2 linked regions of the Notamacropus eugenii genome follow. The protein of the gene in region 2 interacts with the protein of the main gene of each other region in a biochemical or structural test. Links are inferred from orthologs where the notes say so. Each region holds a gene or a part of one and is shown on either strand. Other genes may lie near its edges. The genes, in order: ELN and LOX.

Region 1 (3,910 bases), on a different chromosome or scaffold from region 2:
GCTGCAGATCTACCCAGGAAGTTTCTGCACTAGCAGCCCTGCCAGGTCAGCTCCAATCTACAGGAAACAGCTGCTGCTCCTAGCCCCCTCCACCCCCATTCCTTCCCTCCTCACTCTCCTTAAATCCCCCACCCAACTCAGTCCACCTTTCCCCTCCCTCCTGTTCCTAGCCTATAACTTTTAATCATTCTTTCATTCCTGGTGTGGGTATGTCCTCCTGTACCACAGCGATCTCACCCAACATTCTTGGTGATCAGGGCAGGGCCAGAGGCAGAAAGCAGAGAAACCCAGAAAAGGAGCCAACAGCGAGCCAAGAGGATGCCCAGCCTTCCTATTCTTCCTGGAACCCATCTGGGCTCCAGCTGGGCACCTCTGCTTCCTGCCTCCCAAGTGCTTTCCTGCAAACATGGATCTCTCTGCTGATGTGGCTGGTGCTGGATTCAGCTGGCCTGTTCTCTCTCAGTTTCCCCAAGTCCACATGACCCTCTGTAATCTCCCCTCAGGTCCCCACTCCTCCCTGTCTGGTGTGCCTACCTGAGACTGACTATTTTGATGTCTCATCTCCCTGCTGGCCTCTCTCATCCCACTCCAGTGCTTTCTTCCCTGAACAGGAAGGCTCTCTCCTCTGCCCCCCACCAAGGGGCTGGTCACCAGATCCCCTCTGTGGGCATCCGATGGCATTCCTGCCATTTCTAGCTCACATTTTCTGGACACCAGATGTATCCTCTGCTTTCTTGCATAGGACTGAGGAGACAGCATCATGATACTCTGTATGCCTTCCCTGCTCCTTGTCCATCAGGGTCAACGATTCCACCTCTCCCCTGCCAGACAAGCCTCCACACCCAATCAGGCTGATATGATAGATAATGACATTTTTCATCTTCTGAATGTACTCAGACACAGACGCACATCTGCCCGGGAACACACACATATGTCTGCTCCCATAACATGCACATACACATGGATATCTGTGCAAGAACATAGACATGCACACATGCGCATAAATACCACAACTGCTCATTGATACGCATCTACCCAGTGGCGTATGTTTGGTTCTGTCTTCACAGTTGCACATATATATACACTTGCTCAGTGACATGTACTGGGTCACACATTCAGCCATTTCCCACTCCCATCCTGGTGTCACACACGTGTACCTTGCCAGAAACACCTAAATCAATCTATCTGCCCAGTGGCATCCATTTGGCCACACGTAGCTCATAAGCCTGACCAGGAAGACCTTCCCCTATGGTCACATATGCTTAGTGCTTCTGTCCCTCCCAGTCTACCTTTGGGAGGCACTTTACCATCTGTGCCTCTCATTGCACCCCCCCTCCCCCTTCAGAGGGGAAAGCCATGATCCAGGTAACTGAAAGGATTTGCCTAAGGTCACGTAGCATGTTAGGGTGGGACTACAGTCCAGGTCCCCTAACCCCACCCACCTAGCAGAATTGCCTGTTAGCCACAAGCAGGCATGTACACACATGTGCTCCCTTTGCAGGTGTCCAAACTGCCTGCTGAGGGGACACACCCAGATCTAGGACCCTTTGCTCAGACATGCAGACATTGCCCACTAAACTTGGAGCAAACTCTTCACCAGCCCCAAACAGAACCTGGGAGGAAAGATCACAGCTCTAGCTTCCCACCATTCTGAGACAAAGCCTTTGGGGTTCCCCAGACTAAGTCCACTGTGCTCCCAAGCCCCAATCTGCAACTTTCCAGGACCTTCCCTTCCAGGCTGGGATTCATAATCCCGAGGAGGAGAAGGAGGCAGCCTTCACACAGAGGATGCTGGACACCTGCCCTGAGGTGTGCTTCTAGTATCTCTGCCCTTTCTAGGAACCCAAGGTGGAAGGCTTCTGCATAACTGTGCAGCTCTTCCCTCACTTTAGTGGCACCCCATCCTCTGCTCAGTGGGGTCTTTCTGTCTGAGAACTCCCCACCAGAGTCAGGTCAAGGAAAGCACATCCATAGGATGGCTATACCTTGAGAGGATCCCCGGAGTTCAGAGCACAGAACTCAGTGATACATGAGATGCCCCATTACATCCTTTCCTCCTTTCTCTCTCTCTCTCTCTCTCTCTCTCTCTCTCTCTCTCTCTCTCTCTCTCTCTCTCTCTCTCTCTCTCTCTCTCTCACACACACACACACACACCTCACCTGTCCCTCCAGTCCCTAGAAATAGGGAAATAGAGATGGATGATTCTCTGATAGGTGACCCAGGACTGTGAAGAGAGGGGAGGGATAGAGTGGGAGTGGAATGGGGATGGTGGGTAGGGATGGGGATGGGACAGGGAGAACGTGGATGGTAATGGTGTAGATCAGGACAGGACTGGGGAGCTGATCCCATCGGGGGTACCCTTACCTCCTTGCCTCGTGGGGTGAAGGATGGAGAGAAGGAGGAGGAAGACTCCTGGCCGGAGGGAGAGAGCTGTCCGACTCGCCATCTCTGGGAGAAAAGCCTCAGCCCTCTCTCGGGCTGTGTGTTTTATCCTCAATGCTTAATTGCTGTCTACAAGGGATGTGAGGGAAAGAGGGAGGGGGAGGAACAAGGGAGGGGGGCTGTGTGATGGGGGGTGAGGGGGGTGGGGGGGAAGCTCAGGACACGACGTAATTACGAAAGGGCAACACACACAAACCTCCCCAGACTGGACTATTTGGGGTTTTTTTCCTTTCTTTGCTTCCCCCCTTTCTCTTTTGCTGTTCTCTCCAGCCCTGTCCAGGGCCCTGCCAGAAAGCAGCAGGGGGGGGAGGGGGGGGATGCTGCCAAAACAGCCTTCAGCAAGAGGAAAGGGGAGGGCTCTAGTCCTTGCCAAAAATCCCTGGCTCTAGCCAAGCCCCGTGATGGCCAGGCCCCAGCGCCCGCCCCACCCTGCCCCGCCCCGCCCCAACTGGGCCCCAAGCCTAGAGCCCGGGGACAAGGGCCAGCTGCCCTGAAGGCCCCCCCCACACCCCCACTTCAGCCACCTCAGGCCTGGGAGGAGCTCCCACCCCCCATTCCTAGCCCCCTTTCAGCCCCCTCCCCACTCCAGCCCACCCTATCCCTCGCTTTAATCCTCTTGTCTCCTTGTCCTGGCTGGGGAGGGGGATTTGGGGTGGGACCTAGGAAAAGCAGAGATACTCTGAGGGGGACCTTGGGGAAAGGGAGCCTCAGGGTCCCATTTTCTTTGCTACCTAGTACCATGAGAGAACGGAAGGGACAATATCTTTGGACTCAGAGAACATGGGTTTGAATCCTGTCCCTGCAAACTTATTACCTGTCTGTCTTTGAGAAGGAAAATAGCTCCTTTCCCAGGGCCTATTTCCTCATCTTTAAAATGAAGGAATCGGATGAGATGAGCTCCATTCTCCTTTCCATTGCTGAATCCTATGATGGGGTGACTGAGGGAGAGGGGAACGATATGGGGTTGGGGGAAAGAAGGATATCCTGGTGTCTACAGAAAAGTGATGTCCTTAGAGCCAGCCCCAGTGGCCATGCTTAAAGGGATCTGGTCCTAAGTCCAGACACAAGCAGCCTTAAGGGAGAGGGGAATCCAGGATCTTAGGCTAGAAGGGACCTTAAAAGCCATCTGGGTCAACCCCCTCATTTTTACCGATTTGGAAACTGAGGCACACAGAGGGGAACTGACTTGCCCAAGGTTACAAGATGCTAAGTCTCAGAGGTAGGATTCCCTCCCTGCTTAGTGCCTCTGTGCAGCATTAGTGATTGAACTCACAGACTATCCCTAGGGGTCTCTCCTCCCTCCCCCTGGGGCTAAAGACCTTGCAGAGTCTCCAGAAAGCAGGTGCCAGAATCCTTTAGCCACATCACTTGTAGACTGGGGAGAAAAAGGAAGAAAAAACCCCCAGTGGAAAAAGCACTGGCTGTAGAGTCAGAGCACCTGGGTTCAGATCTCACCTTGGATACTCGC
Region 2 (3,910 bases):
AGGTATATAAAACATGACTAAAGATTTGGTTTTTATGTACAAATGTATTCTATAACTTAATTTCTATCTTTTTTTCTGAAATACAAACAGAATGGTTGCACTATGCTGTTTAAAAAAAGCACATTTTTAAGCTTCTTAAGCCTTGCCCTACTTTATAGAGTTACAACTCCAAATACATTTTTGGGTTAGTGTTGGAGTATGTTACCATTCTCTGAAGTGCCAAGGAATTTCTTCTCAATGTTAACTTTTTTTTTTTTTTTTTGGTGGCACCTTCCAGAGCATCTTGGGCTCCCCCTATTGGCTGTTCAACATCAAACCCTATTCTCCAAGTTAAGGGTCCTTATTTTAAAGCTGTTGAAAAAGCAAAGTTTCAAGCTTGGCTGAAGTAAAACCAGAACATGTTCATTACAGCTACGACCAAAAGAGGAAAAAAACAACCATTGCCAAGTAAATGAGACCACAGTCGCAAACATACGTTTAAGTCTTCTAAGAGGTCATTAACATACTCTATAATTACTTTTTTTGGGGGGGGGGTAGTTTGGAGGGTCAAATTACAGATGGTTTATTCAATTTCACTAGGAATGGCTGCTTCCCATGGTAAGTGTGTGGGCTCTTTTATCAGGTCAAGTACAATTTCTTTTTCTTTAATCATGTCAACAAGACCCCATCGCTTTTGAAACTTGACCATAAGCCTGGGACTCCAAAGATTCGGGAGGACGTAAACAGTCTTAATCCAAGCCACACTCTTCTTCTGCATAACAGTTGGAAGGATCACGAGCTAGGGCCCACAAAAAAGCATTCTCTTTCATCTCATCATCCCCAGCTTGTCCTGTCTTCTTCACTTCCCATCTCCCACCTTTCCAGGACCCCCAGCTGCCACCGACAAGACTCCGGGAGGACAGAAGCAGCGCAGAGAAGAAGAGAGCCTGTATTTGGGTCAGGAGACTACCCCGGCCCCTACCTGGCAAGACAGTTTTCCTCCGCAGCACATCTCAAGTTGTACATGGACATCCTCTGCACGTACGTGGACGCCTGAATGTAGTAGGGATCTGGCACCAGGTCGGGGAGACCTACAAGTCGGCCAAAAATAATCAGAAATCCACCACCTTGAAAACCCAGTTACTAACCCCGGCTTCCTGTCTAGCCTTCCTACCCATTCTTTTCTCCAAAGCCTACCTCCCCAAACTGGGACCTTTCCACTAACACCCCTGCTTGTATTGAGACTAGGTAGAAGGAGGGATGGGGGCGGAAGAAAAGACAAGTAACGGAATTTTTGCAAGTGGTTATGTGACAGTCTTTTGTGAGGGTCAGAGAGACTTCTATGGACGGGTGCGGCGTTCTGGCTGAGTCGGGTCTTTGCTGTATGGACTGTTTTTGTGAGGGCGGGGGGCGGGGAGGGGAGAGATATCTCGAACTTTTTTGCACGTCAGCTTATTTGTGATTGTCACTTACCATACTGGAAATACCCAGTGCCGTAGCCAGGTCTGTACCTGCTTCCCGGACGTGGCCTCTCGTAAGTGTCATAGTAGTTGTAATAGGGATTGTCGTCTGAGTACTTGTAGGGGTTGTAGGGGTCATCGCCCACCATGCCATCCACTCGGCTGGGAGCTCTGAGGTTGCTTAGGGTGGGGCGGCTACCGGCTGGGCTCTGGTCGCGGTCCTGGGCAGCCGGGCTGGAACCAGGCGCTCGGCCCCCGGGGCTCCTGCTGGTGGGGGCAGTGGCCGCCGGGGAGGTGGACGCCGACGGTCCGCCCTGGTGCCGTTGCGCAGACCCGGGCTGATAACCAGCCTGGAACCAGTGCCGTGCAGCCGGTTGCCTCCTGGGGTTCGTGCGGTCGTGGACCAGAGCGCCCACAGACGGCAGCGGGCGAGAGCGCGGAGAAGTGCTGTTGTCTCTGAGCAGCAGTACTGGCGACTGGCGAAGCGAGGAAACTGAGGCACCAGCGGCGGAGCCAGCCGCCGGGTCCCTCCGGCGCGGAGGCTGGTACTCAGAGCCCAGGCTCAGGAGGCTGAACACCTGCCCGTTGTTCTCCCACTGAATCCTTTGCCTCCATCCAGCCGGGGGAGGAGGGTCTCGTCGGGGCTGCTGGCAGGCTACTTGCAAAATGCAGCCCAAGTGAACACACAGATGGAACCGAACAAGGACAACGGCGGGTGAAGGCAAATGCATCTCTTGCTCTCTCCTTTAATCTCCGCAGACACGAAAAGCGTTGCTTCAGGAAATAAAAATAGGGAGGAGAAAAAAAGTCACTTGTGAGGGAAGGAAAAACCGTCTATCGACGTATTTCAATAGCTACCTAAGGAGCGCCCAAGATAGAGTGTAGACTGTAAAAAACAAAACAGACAGCGCGGATGTGGCGTCTTCCCCGAGCCCCCCCTTTCCCAGTGTTTATAGAAGAAGGATGGGGAGAAGGGCAGGAGTTCTAGCGAGCGGGCAGCCTCTCATCGTCGTCGTCCTGCTTTTGCTGGTGTCTGGAGTGAAGGAAGGAGGAGGAGGGATGCGAGATTTTAAACTTTCTGGCACATTTGCAAAGTTACACAAGCGTTTTTTGGCAGGGCTGCTCCTATGCTATTTGTTCACGTAATGCGATTGGAAACGTGCAAGTCTGACAGTTCCTCACATCTGCCCCCTCCCTCCTAACCACCTCCCCCCAAGACACGTTGCACATAGAGAGGTTTCTTTAACGGGAAAGAACAAAAAAGAATACATATCCAGCTAGAGACACACGCGACCCACATCTTAATCTTGGGCGAACATGCAGGAATTTCAGTGGACTCAGACACACTCAAGCAGCCAGACCATGAGAGTGTGCCAAAGTATGCAGAGGGAAAAATGCTATTAGGTCATCAAACACAGGAAAGACTGGAAAGGGGGAGGTAGGAAGACTTAGACTCGACGGGAGTGGAGGGAACATGTTTTGGGGAAAATATTCTGGCTAAGAATTCCCTGCTCAGGAGGGGGAACAAAGCATATTTCCCAATATGCTCTCAGTTATGGGAAATCCTCTCATCCTGTAAACTCTGAGCTATCGAATTTTGTTTTTCTGTGTGTAGGTAACATGAGAAATTGGTTACAAATTCATATCCAGCAGTGAAATTTCTAAGTGAATTTTCACATGGGAGAAGGGCAGTTGACTCTGAAATCCATAACCAGAATAAATAAACCCATCTCCCTGTTTCAAAAACTAAACCCAAAGGTCTACTTTTATCGAAATGCGGAAAATCATCTTTCATCTTGACAGTGCTTCTTAGAAGAGGTTGTTAAATAGGAATTGTTCAGAATTCGGCTGTAAATTAACAACTGAACTGAAATTTCCTTTCCCTCCCACCTCCCTCTACATAGAGGAGGAGGGATTTGTTTTTATTTCTATGACCATTTATTAAATGTTCGATGCCATTAGTGTATCAATGATAAATAATAGGAGACATCAGGATTTCTGTCTGAAAAGTCTCCAAACCGCACAAGATTTTCCTGAGAACTAGGGAGTGTCTTTAGTGGGAAGATGAATGGGAAGAAGGGTCAATAATTCCGACTGGAATTTGTTGGCAAATGGAGTGTGCCTGCTCACATATGACTTTTATATTTTAGCAGTGCTGGAAACTTCAAAAGAAAATTGACACTAAAAGGTGAATACTTGTAAAGTATTGATTAAAATAAGATTTCAAAAATAACTCATTTTAATGGTGACTTTTTGTTTGTATATCACATATTCATTGCTGAATATATCCCAATTCTATCTTCTCCCTAGTGAAGTCATGGCTTATAACAAAGATTTTTGAAAGAAAGAAGAGGAAAATTTGTTTTATCTATTAATTTACTGACAAAACAGAGATATGGTTTCTCACTTCAAAGAAGGAAGGTTTGTGTTCTTATTTTTTCTGTGGCCAAGTTTGGTCATTGTCATTCCAC

The links.
Region 1: the proteins of LOX (region 2) and ELN form a complex in vitro, tested with the Homo sapiens proteins (2 studies listed by BioGRID and IntAct). The link is inferred for Notamacropus eugenii from reciprocal best matches to the Homo sapiens genes LOX and ELN.

What each region holds. Positions count from the first base shown.
Region 1 is NC_092873.1:49,376,733-49,380,642, forward strand, and holds the start of ELN (elastin), read right to left. Parts: upstream 2,566-3,910; 5' UTR 2,447-2,565; coding exon 2,365-2,446; intron 1-2,364. UniProt on the Homo sapiens protein: Major structural protein of tissues such as aorta and nuchal ligament, which must expand rapidly and recover completely.
Region 2 is NC_092874.1:344,826,970-344,830,879, forward strand, and holds the start of LOX (protein-lysine 6-oxidase), read right to left. Parts: upstream 2,486-3,910; 5' UTR 2,171-2,485; coding exon 1,453-2,170; intron 1,071-1,452; coding exon 962-1,070; intron 1-961. UniProt on the Homo sapiens protein: Responsible for the post-translational oxidative deamination of peptidyl lysine residues in precursors to fibrous collagen and elastin. Regulator of Ras expression. May play a role in tumor suppression. Plays a role in the aortic wall architecture.